Oryctolagus cuniculus: one gene and its partner. The protein of the gene in region 1 interacts with the protein of each later gene in a pairwise test. Links are inferred from orthologs where the notes say so. Each region holds a gene or a part of one and is shown on either strand. Other genes may lie near its edges.

Region 1 (4,529 bases):
TAAGATTCAAACTTTCATGTGTCTGGGAGTTTCCTAAATTGGTACGTTTGTTGTTTTTTTTTAAGATTTATTTTATTTATTTGAAAGATAGAGTTACAGAGAGAGGTAGAGACAGAGAGAGAGGTCTTCCATCCGATGGTTCACTCCCGAGATGGCCGCAACAGCCGGAGCTGCACCGACCTGAAGCCAGGAGCCAGGAGCTTCTTCCAGGTCTCCCACGTAGGTATAGGGGCCCAAGGACTTGGGCCATTTTCTACTGCTATCCCAGGACATAGCAGAGAGCTGGATTGGAAGTGGAGCAGCCGGGACTAGAACCGGTGCCCATATGGGATGCTGGTGCTTCAGGCCAGGGCATTAACCCACTGCACCACAGCGCCAGCCCCAAATTGGTACGTTTTTAAAAATACCTATCTCGCCGGTGCCGCGGCTCACTAGGCTAATCCTCCGCCTTGCGGCGCCAGCACACCGGGTTCTAGTCCCGGTCGTGGCACCAGATTCTGTCCCGGTTGCCCCTTTTCCAGGCCAGCTCTCTGCTGTGGCCAGGGAGTGCAGTGGAGGATGGCCCAAGTGCTTGGACCCTGCACCCCAAGGGAGACCAGGAGAAACACCTGGCTCCTGCCTTCGGATCAGCGCGGTGCACCGGTCGCAGCGGCCATTGGAGGGTGCACCAACGGCAAAACGAAGACCTTTCTCTCTGTTTCTCTCTCTCACTGTCCACTCTGCCTGTCAAATAAATAAATAAATAAATAAAATAAAAATAATTAAAAAAATAAAAATACCTATCTCAAGGCACTTCATGTGGCTAGAGCTTGGTAAAAGTCTCCCTTTCCCACTTGGTTACTTCAGTGGTAACCGGTCTTCCAGCCTGTTACCTCGGGCAGTTCACCTCTGTATTCCAGGCTCAGTGAAATAGGTACCTACCGGTGAGTGCTCCTATCCATAACTTTCCATCAAGAATTCATGTCCTAGTAAGCGATCCCTGTTAGAGAGCAGAGCCTTTTCCAAAGAAACTTAACCAGCGATGGGTGGGGTATACCTTAATCTCAAAGGTCGGTTGCCTTCCAGTTTACATCCATTAGCTATTTTCCTTCTTTTTTAAAATTTTTTTTATTTATTTTTTATTTGAAAGGCAGAGTTACAGAGAGAGCAAGAGACTGACAAATCTTCCATCGGCTTGGTTCATTCTCCAAATGGCTGCAATGGCCAGGGCTGGTCCAGGAGGGAGCTAGGAGCTTCATCCAGGTCTCCCACTCGTGGAGGCAGCTTCTTCCACTGCTTTTCCAGGCACATTAGGAGGGAGCTTGACTGAAGTGGAGCAGCCGGGACTCGAACCGGTGATCATACAGGATGCCGGGGGTACAGGCGGGGGCCTAACCCGCTACGCTACAATGCCGGCCCTGATATTTTTGTAAACTATATTCCAAAACGTTTCGGTAAAGTAAGCGGATATTAAACATTTTAATATGCACTATACATACACACACTTCACAGGGTGAACTAACAGGAGACGACACCACGACGTAGTGGGGCGGGGCTGGAGGCGGGGACACCCTCGGGGACCTATTTTCTAGACAGCAGTTGCCATGGCGACCACCTCGCCTTCCCATTGGTCACTGCCGAACCTATTGCGGTTCCCCAAGCGGACTTTAATTGGCTGCCGATCTGCCGCAGCCCGACCTGTCGAGAGCCGTAAGTGAAGTGTCGCAAAGCAGAAGGAAGGCGGGAGTCCCGACTGCAAACACTGAGAAAGCCCCGGCTGTAGGGGCCGCTATGGCGAGTGCGCAGTGGGCCGAGGTCCGAGAGAAATTCCAGGCGGCGCTGGCCCTGTCGCGAGTGGAACTGCATAAAAACCCGGAGAAGGAACCGTACAAGTCCAAATACAGCGCCAGAGCGCTGCTGGAAGAGGTCAAGGCGCTGCTCGGCCCCGCGCCCGACGACGAGGATGAGCGGCTGCAGGCCGACGAGGGCTTGGGCGCTGGGGACCACGCCCTGGGGCTGCCCACGGAGGTGGTGGAGGCCGAAGGGCCCGTCGCCCAGCGGGCGGTCAGGCTGGCGGTTATAGAGTTCCACCTCGGGGTGAACCACATCGACACCGAGGAGCTGTCGGCGGGCGAGGAGCACCTGGTGAAATGCCTGCGGCTGCTGCGCAGGTACCGGCTCTCGCACGGCTGCATCTCCCTCTACATCCAGGCGCAGGTGAGAGCGAGCCCGGCCGGCCGCCGTGCAGCCCCCAGAGCCGGCCCCGGGCCGTGCGAGGCGAGGGCGTGGAGAGGAGCCCCCGCTCCGGGCCGTGTTAGATATGGCACGACTTCTGCTCGTGTGTTTGAAGCGGTGGGAAAGGCCAGCCTTAGGACTTGGAGCCGTGTAACCGCATCCCCCTGCGCTGGCTTCCATACTCCCTCTCCATGCCTCGCTTGCCCACGGGCAGCACGCTGGTTTCCGGGGCCCTCCTGCGTGTCATGTGCCCGCCGGCTCTCCGCTGTCCAGAGACTGGTCATTCTGTTAAAATCCAGACTAATGTAAATCTTAACTTAAGGTGTCGTGGAAATGACAGTGACCGTAAAACATTAATAATTCAAAACAAAATGTCTGAAGTCTTCAGTTTCCGTTGCTACATTGGTTCGCCCCCCCGGGGGATTCCTGCCCATTCAAAACCATCCCAAGAATCACCTCATTTCAGTAACTTTCTTTGGATCATTTTGGTTCAGACTGATCTCTTTACCACCTTTGAATACTTACAATATTCCCGTTTTTATGGTGCTTGATAAGAAATAAACCAACATTCTGCATTGGGAACAAAACTCTTGAAAATACAAGGATGCATGAGCTTCCTGTGTGTGCCAGGATGTTTGCTTACTCTCACAGCCAGTAGTTCCAGGACCCAGTGTAGGTGATTGAGGGAATATTACCAAAGTGGATTTGATGGCAAGTAGGTCTCAAAGACAAACCTCAAAATTAAGAGACAACTCATACTGGATCATATTCTTTTGTCATGGTCCAGCAATTTGAAAGCCACACAGTAACAGAGACTACCTTTTCTTAAACTCACCCCAGTAGGTGGCACATAGTGTGCAGATTCTAAATATCTCTTGAGTGGATGAGGAACTATTGAAATTTGTAATATGTTAAATTCAAACTAAACTTCAGTTATCTGAAGTTTTCCTTAACCATATAACCTCAGATTTTTTTTTTTTTTTTTTTTTTTTTTTGGACAGGCAGAGTGGACCGTGAGAGAGAGAGAGAGAGAGAAAGGTCTTCCTTTTGCTGTTGGTTCACCCTCCAATGGCCACCGTGGCCAGCCTGCTGTGGCTGGCGCACCGCGCTGATCCGATGGCCGGAGCTAGGTGCTTCTCCTGGTCTCCCATGGGATGCAGGGCCCAAGGACTTGGGCCATCCTGCACTGCGCTCCCTGGCCACAGCAGAGAGCTGGCCTGGAAGAGGGGCAACCGGGACAGAATCCGGTGCCCTGACCGGGACTAGAACCTGGGGTGCCGGCGCCGCAAGGCGGAGGATTAGCCTAGTGAGCTGTGGCGCCGGCCATAACCTCAGATCTTAATGAGTACTTTAAAAATTATTTAAGGAGTGGTTGTTGTGGCGCAGCGGGTTACACCACTGCTTGCAGTGCCAGCATACTTGATTGAGGCATGGAGCCCTGATGTGGAGTCCTGGCTGCTCCACTTCCAATCCAGCTCCCTGCTAATGTGCTCCCTGGGAGACAGCAGGTATTCCTGCGTCAACATGGGGGACCCAGATGGGGCTCCTGGATCCTGGCTTTGGCCTAGCTCAGCCCTAGCTGTTGCAGCCATTTAGGGAGTGAACCAGTGATGAAAGATCTCTTTCTCTATTGTTATTCCATCTCTGTCACTTGGCCTTTCAAATAAATTAAATAAATCTTAAAAAATCTGTTAAAGGCCGATGCCGCTGTGGATCACTTGGTTAATCCTCCGCCTGCGGCACTGGCATCCCATATGGGCGCTGGTTCTAGTCCCGGCTGCTCCTCTTCCAGTCCAGCTCTCTGCTGTGGCCTGGGAGGGCAGTGGAGGATGGCCCAAATGCTTGGGCCCTGCACCCTCATGGGAGACCAGGAAGAAGCACCTGGCTCCTGGCTTCAGATCGGCGCAGCTCCAGTTGTGGCAGTCATTTGAGGAGTGAACCAACGGAAGGAAGACCTTGCTCTCTCTCTCTCTCTCTCTCACTGTCTGTAACTCTACCTGTCAAATAAAAAAAAATCTGTTAAAAAGAATAAGTAAATAATGTTGAACAGAGAACTGCCCAATCTCATTATATTATCAGTATGACCTACAGTGCTAACTACTGAGGACAGATCAAGTCACTTTTTCATAAAATTATTGAGTTGATATATTTTATGTTTCTGTGGAATGACCAAGTCACTTTTTTTTTTCTTAAGGATTTATTTTGTTTATTTGAAAGACAGGCTTACAGAGAGGCAGAGAGAGGGGAGGGAGTCTTCCAAACGCTGGTTCACTCCCCCAGATGGCTGCATGACAAGAGCTGTGCCAATCTGGAGC
Region 2 (4,468 bases), on another chromosome or scaffold:
TCTTTGCCTCTCCAATAAGATAAATAAAACTTTTAAAAATATCTATATTGGGCCGGTGCCGTGGCTCAATAGGCTAATCCTCCGCCTTGCGGCGCCGGCACACCAGGTTCTAGTCCCGGTCGGGGTGCCGGATTCTGTCCCGGTTGCCCCTCTTCCAGGCCAGCTCTCTGCTGTGGCCCAGGAGTGCAGTGGAGGATGGCCCAAGTGCTTGGGCCCTGCACCCCATGGGAGACCAGGATAAGCACCTGGCTCCTGGTTTCGGATCAGCGTGGTGCGCCGGCCACGGCGGCCATTGGAGGGTGAACCAACAGCAAAGGAAGACCTTTCTCTCTGTCTCTCTCTCTCTCTCTGTCCACTCTGCCTGTCAAAAAAAACAAACAAAAAAACAAACAAACAAAATATCTATATTGAAGTTGTTGCTACGTAGATCACGCTTGCAGGACCCCCTGTTGTGGTGCAGGTTAAGCCACTGCCTGTGATGCCATCATCCCATATGGTGTTCAAGTCCCGGCTGCTCCACTTTCCTTCCAGCTCCCTGCTATGGCCTGGGGAAGCAGTAGAAGATGGCCCAAGTGCCTGGGCCCCTGCACCCACGTGGGAGACCCAGATGAGGCTCCTGGCTCCTGGTTTCAACCTGACTCAGCCTTGGCTGTTGAGGCCATTTGGGGAGTGAGCCAGCAGATGGAAGATTCTCTCTCTCTCTCTCTCTCTCTCTCTCTCTCTCTCTCTCTCTCCCTCTCTCTCTCTCTCCCACCGTGTGTAACTCTACCTTTCAAATAAATAATAAATCTTTTTTTTAATCCCTTCCAGATGAGCCCTGTGACTTCCTGATGCTCCCAAAGCCTGGAAAAAAGGTGAGATCCAACAGCTGAGATGCACTTGCTGGTGGTCAGTGCTGGCTCCAGAGGGGATGTCCCTGGTTCCAGACTGTGTGGGCGGGCGGTGGGCAGGGTGAGGCAGTGTTCCCACGGAGTGGGAAGGTGTGTGTGTGTGCAGTGCTGAGTGTGCTGCAGCCCTCAGCCAGTTGAGAGACCTGGCTTCCAGCTTGACGACCTTGAGCAAGTGCTGAGACCCTGCTGTGAGCCTGGGTTTCCTCGTTTCTAAGTGATTTGGGCCCATTGCTTTCTAAGGCCTCTTCCAGCTCGGGGGTGCTCAGCAGCAGCCAGCCGGGGCCTGGGGCCTGGGGCCTGGGGCCTGCTGCTCTGAGTCTGACTCGCGGACCGGGTTTCTGGGCCTCACTGTTCTTGGGTGGCAGCCGCTCTCTCTGGTGACTCCCCATGCCGTCCCGTGTCCCTGAGTTGCTGCTCTTGGAGGAGCTGGAATTTGGCTTTTTGGGGGCATTATTTCTTAGTGGCTGGAAATGCAGGAAGCTTGAGTGTGAAGCTCACTCATCAGAAACCAAACACACACACACACACACACACACACGCACGCAGAGCAAGAAACCACAAGCCTATCGGCCTGTCGTCAGCGAGCAGGCTAGAACAGTGCAGAAAACCCTAGGCAGAGAGGAAATGAACTTGAACTTGCGAGAAGGGGGAACACAGGCTGAGAAGAGAGGGGAGAGGCAGAGGGCGGAGTGGAAGGAGGGAGTGGACGCCAGGGGCCCGAGATGGTGAGACGATGGAGGCCGTGGCTGTGAAGCAGGGCTGCTTGTACCTGCAGCAGCACCAAGCGTTTGCGAAGGTGGGAGCCGGGCTGGGCGCAGGGGCTGGGCACAGGGGCTGGGTGCAGGGGCTGGAGGGAGCTCCAGGCTCCCAATCCCTCTGTGGGGACTATGCCGGCGTTCCAGCTCAGGCAGGCTCTTTCCTTACCATGCTTGCCTCCCAAGCCAGGCCCCGTGGCGCAGGCGGGGGTGGAGAGGAAGGAGGGTGCTGACTTAGCTCCTGCGTTCTTGTGCTCTCTCTCGACTTCCTCTCCTGGGGCAGCTTGGACAGGGATGGAAGGCATGGGGTGGGGGGCAATCCGGGACGATGCTGGAGGGTCTCCCTCACTTTCCCCACCTTGTGGAGGGGGGAGTGTCTGGCTGGCATTAAGCAGGTCAGGGGCCTCTGGGAGCTGCAGCCTCAGGGCGTCCAACCTCCTCCTCCTCTCCTGGCCTCCTTGAATGAGGAAGTCTTGTCCCCAGCGGACCCACCCAGTCAGTCTCTGTTTCTCTCCCCTTTCCCTCCACTCCCCCCAACGCCCTACCTGTCAAGCAGAAAACTTCAGGGGGCCCGGAGAGAAGTTTCTGGAGACAGGCCCTCTCTTGTGAACATGTCCAGGGCAGGCCCCTGGCGCTCCCCCCAACCCCTCCTCTACCTCTGGAGCTCACTGGTGCTCTTCCCTAGACCAGCACCTGCAGGGCGGGCTTCCTGCTGCTTGCAGCCTGCTCCCCCTGCAGCTCACTGCTGTGCCTCCTGCTGCCTTCAGCAGCCTCTCTGTTGCTTCTGGCCCATCTCCTGTCCTCGCACTCCGTGGGCCCAGTTACCCTCTCTGCCTCCCTATCCGTCCCCATCTCCCGTGCAAGCCCCCCTTCCCTGTGGTCACAAGCTCTCTCTCTCTCTCTCTCTCTCTCTCTCTCTCTCTCTGGGTGGCTCCCTCCCGGTGCTCCCTCTCCCACGCATCTGGGTTCAGAAATGGCGCCGGTTCGGGGCCGTGCTGTACGCGGAGTCGGGCTGCGCCTTGGCCCGCCTGGAGCTCCAGGAGGGCCCAGAGAAGACACGTCGGGGAGATGCTGGCCGGAGGGTCATCCGCCTCAGTGACTGCCTGCGGGTGGCCGAGGCCGGCTCCGAGGCCAGCAGCCCCCGGGACACCAGCGCCTTCCTCCTGGAGACCAAGGAGCGCCTGTACCTCCTGGCAGCCCCCACGGCAGAGCGCAGTGACTGGCTGCAGGCCATCTGTCTGCTGGCTTTCCCCGTGAGTCGTTCAGAAGGGGTGGGGGTGGGCGGTGGGGGGGGCCCTGGCCACTTCTGGTGAGCAGGTGTTAGAACGTCCAGGTCAGGGTGTTGGAGTTGGCAGCCCGGTCCAGAGAGTGCACGAGGGGGTCCAGAGAGTGCACGAGGGGCTCAGGGGTTGGAGGACAGCCTGGAGGGCAGCAGAGGTGCTGAGACCCCGGCCTCCTCCCCTTGGGGCAGAGGAAGGAGCTGCAGGCGCCCGAGGGGAAGAGTGGCCAGCCCCACATGGAGATCAACGAGCTGTACAGCCGGGCCACAGGTGAGGCTCCCTGGGGTGTGGGTGGGAGGAGGTGAGGGGCCCCTGCCGGTCCCCGAGTCTTCCTGTCTCGTGGTTGTCCCCAACCTGGGCCAGTCGCCTTATCAGCCTTTCCCCCTTGCTTCCGGTGCTGCCTAAGGCGGGGGGGGGGGGCGCCTCCCTGAGTACCACTGCTGGTTCACCCCCTCTTGTTCAGGCTGAGGGGCCCCACGTGAGGTTGCTGCTCTTAAGTCCTCTGTGCTGGGACCCCAGCGATTGTCTGGGGGAGGGGAGAACAGAGAGAGAGAGAGAGAGAGAACTTTTCTGTGTTTGCCTGTGCAAGTCTCAGGTGGCTGGGAGCTTTTGGGTGACAAGGCAGGTGCCACTGTCACCGGCTCTTGTCCTCTGGGCTGTGTGTGCGTGCGTGTGCGTGCTTGTACAAGCATGGCCGGTGGACACAGAGTCCCCTGTCCACCTAAGCTCCCCCGCCCCCCAGGGCACCTGCAGGCATAGGCAGTGGAGGCAGGGTCGGGCTTCCCCTGAAGCTGTTAACAGTGGGAGTTGGGGAGCCAGCTGGTTTGTGGGTGAGAGGTGAGATGAAGCCCAGGCTGTGGGCCTGGCAACACCAACAGGAAGCTTGTGAGCACAGGATCGCGTGGATGTGCCCAGGGTGGGTGGGCACGCGTGGGGGTGGAGGTACCTGGCCGGATGACCCGGCTCAGGCCAGCTTAGCCTACACCATCCAGACAGGTGCTCCCCACCCCCACGCCGGAGGAATTTGTCATGCTTTTCCTGGAGGCTGCGCCCCTCCCCCCCGACTTTTCTCTCCTCTCTGCTCCCCAGTGGTCCCTTGCAAGGAGTTTGCAGTGACCATGAGACCCACAGAAGCCAGCGAGAGGTGCCGGCTCCGGGGCTCCTATATCCTGCGAGCCGGGGAGAACGCCCTGGAGCTGTGGGGCGGCTCGGAGCCCGGCACACCGCTGTTCCACTGGCCCTACAGGTTTCTGCGACGGTTCGGGCGGGACAAGGTGAGCGAAAGCGCGAGCCAGGTTGGAGAGGATCAGGAGGGCCCAGTGCACCTGCTCGGGCCCCTGACCCCCGACCCCTGCCGCCTAGGTGACCTTTTCCTTCGAGGCAGGCCGGCGCTGCTTGTCCGGAGAGGGCAGCTTTGAGTTCGAAACGCGGCAGGGCAACGAGATCTTCTCGGCCCTGGAGGAGGCCATCAGCGCCCAGAAGAACGCGGGCCCCGCGCCGGCCGCCGCGCGCCCCGAGAGCCCCTACGCACAGCCGCTCGACT

The links.
Region 2: the proteins of KIFBP (region 1) and DOK2 interact in a two-hybrid assay, tested with the Homo sapiens proteins (2 studies listed by BioGRID and IntAct). The two-hybrid records come from large-scale screens. The link is inferred for Oryctolagus cuniculus from reciprocal best matches to the Homo sapiens genes KIFBP and DOK2.

Annotation. Positions count from the first base shown.
Region 1 is NC_091446.1:60,775,179-60,779,707, forward strand, and holds the start of KIFBP (KIF-binding protein), read left to right. Parts: upstream 1-1,674; 5' UTR 1,675-1,770; coding exon 1,771-2,196; intron 2,197-4,529. UniProt on the Homo sapiens protein: Activator of KIF1B plus-end-directed microtubule motor activity. Required for organization of axonal microtubules, and axonal outgrowth and maintenance during peripheral and central nervous system development.
Region 2 is NC_091439.1:1,379,286-1,383,753, forward strand, and holds the start of DOK2 (docking protein 2), read left to right. Parts: upstream 1-1,422; 5' UTR 1,423-1,623; coding exon 1,624-1,686; intron 1,687-2,616; coding exon 2,617-2,898; intron 2,899-3,116; coding exon 3,117-3,195; intron 3,196-4,014; coding exon 4,015-4,199; intron 4,200-4,287; coding exon 4,288-4,468. UniProt on the Homo sapiens protein: DOK proteins are enzymatically inert adaptor or scaffolding proteins. They provide a docking platform for the assembly of multimolecular signaling complexes. DOK2 may modulate the cellular proliferation induced by IL-4, as well as IL-2 and IL-3.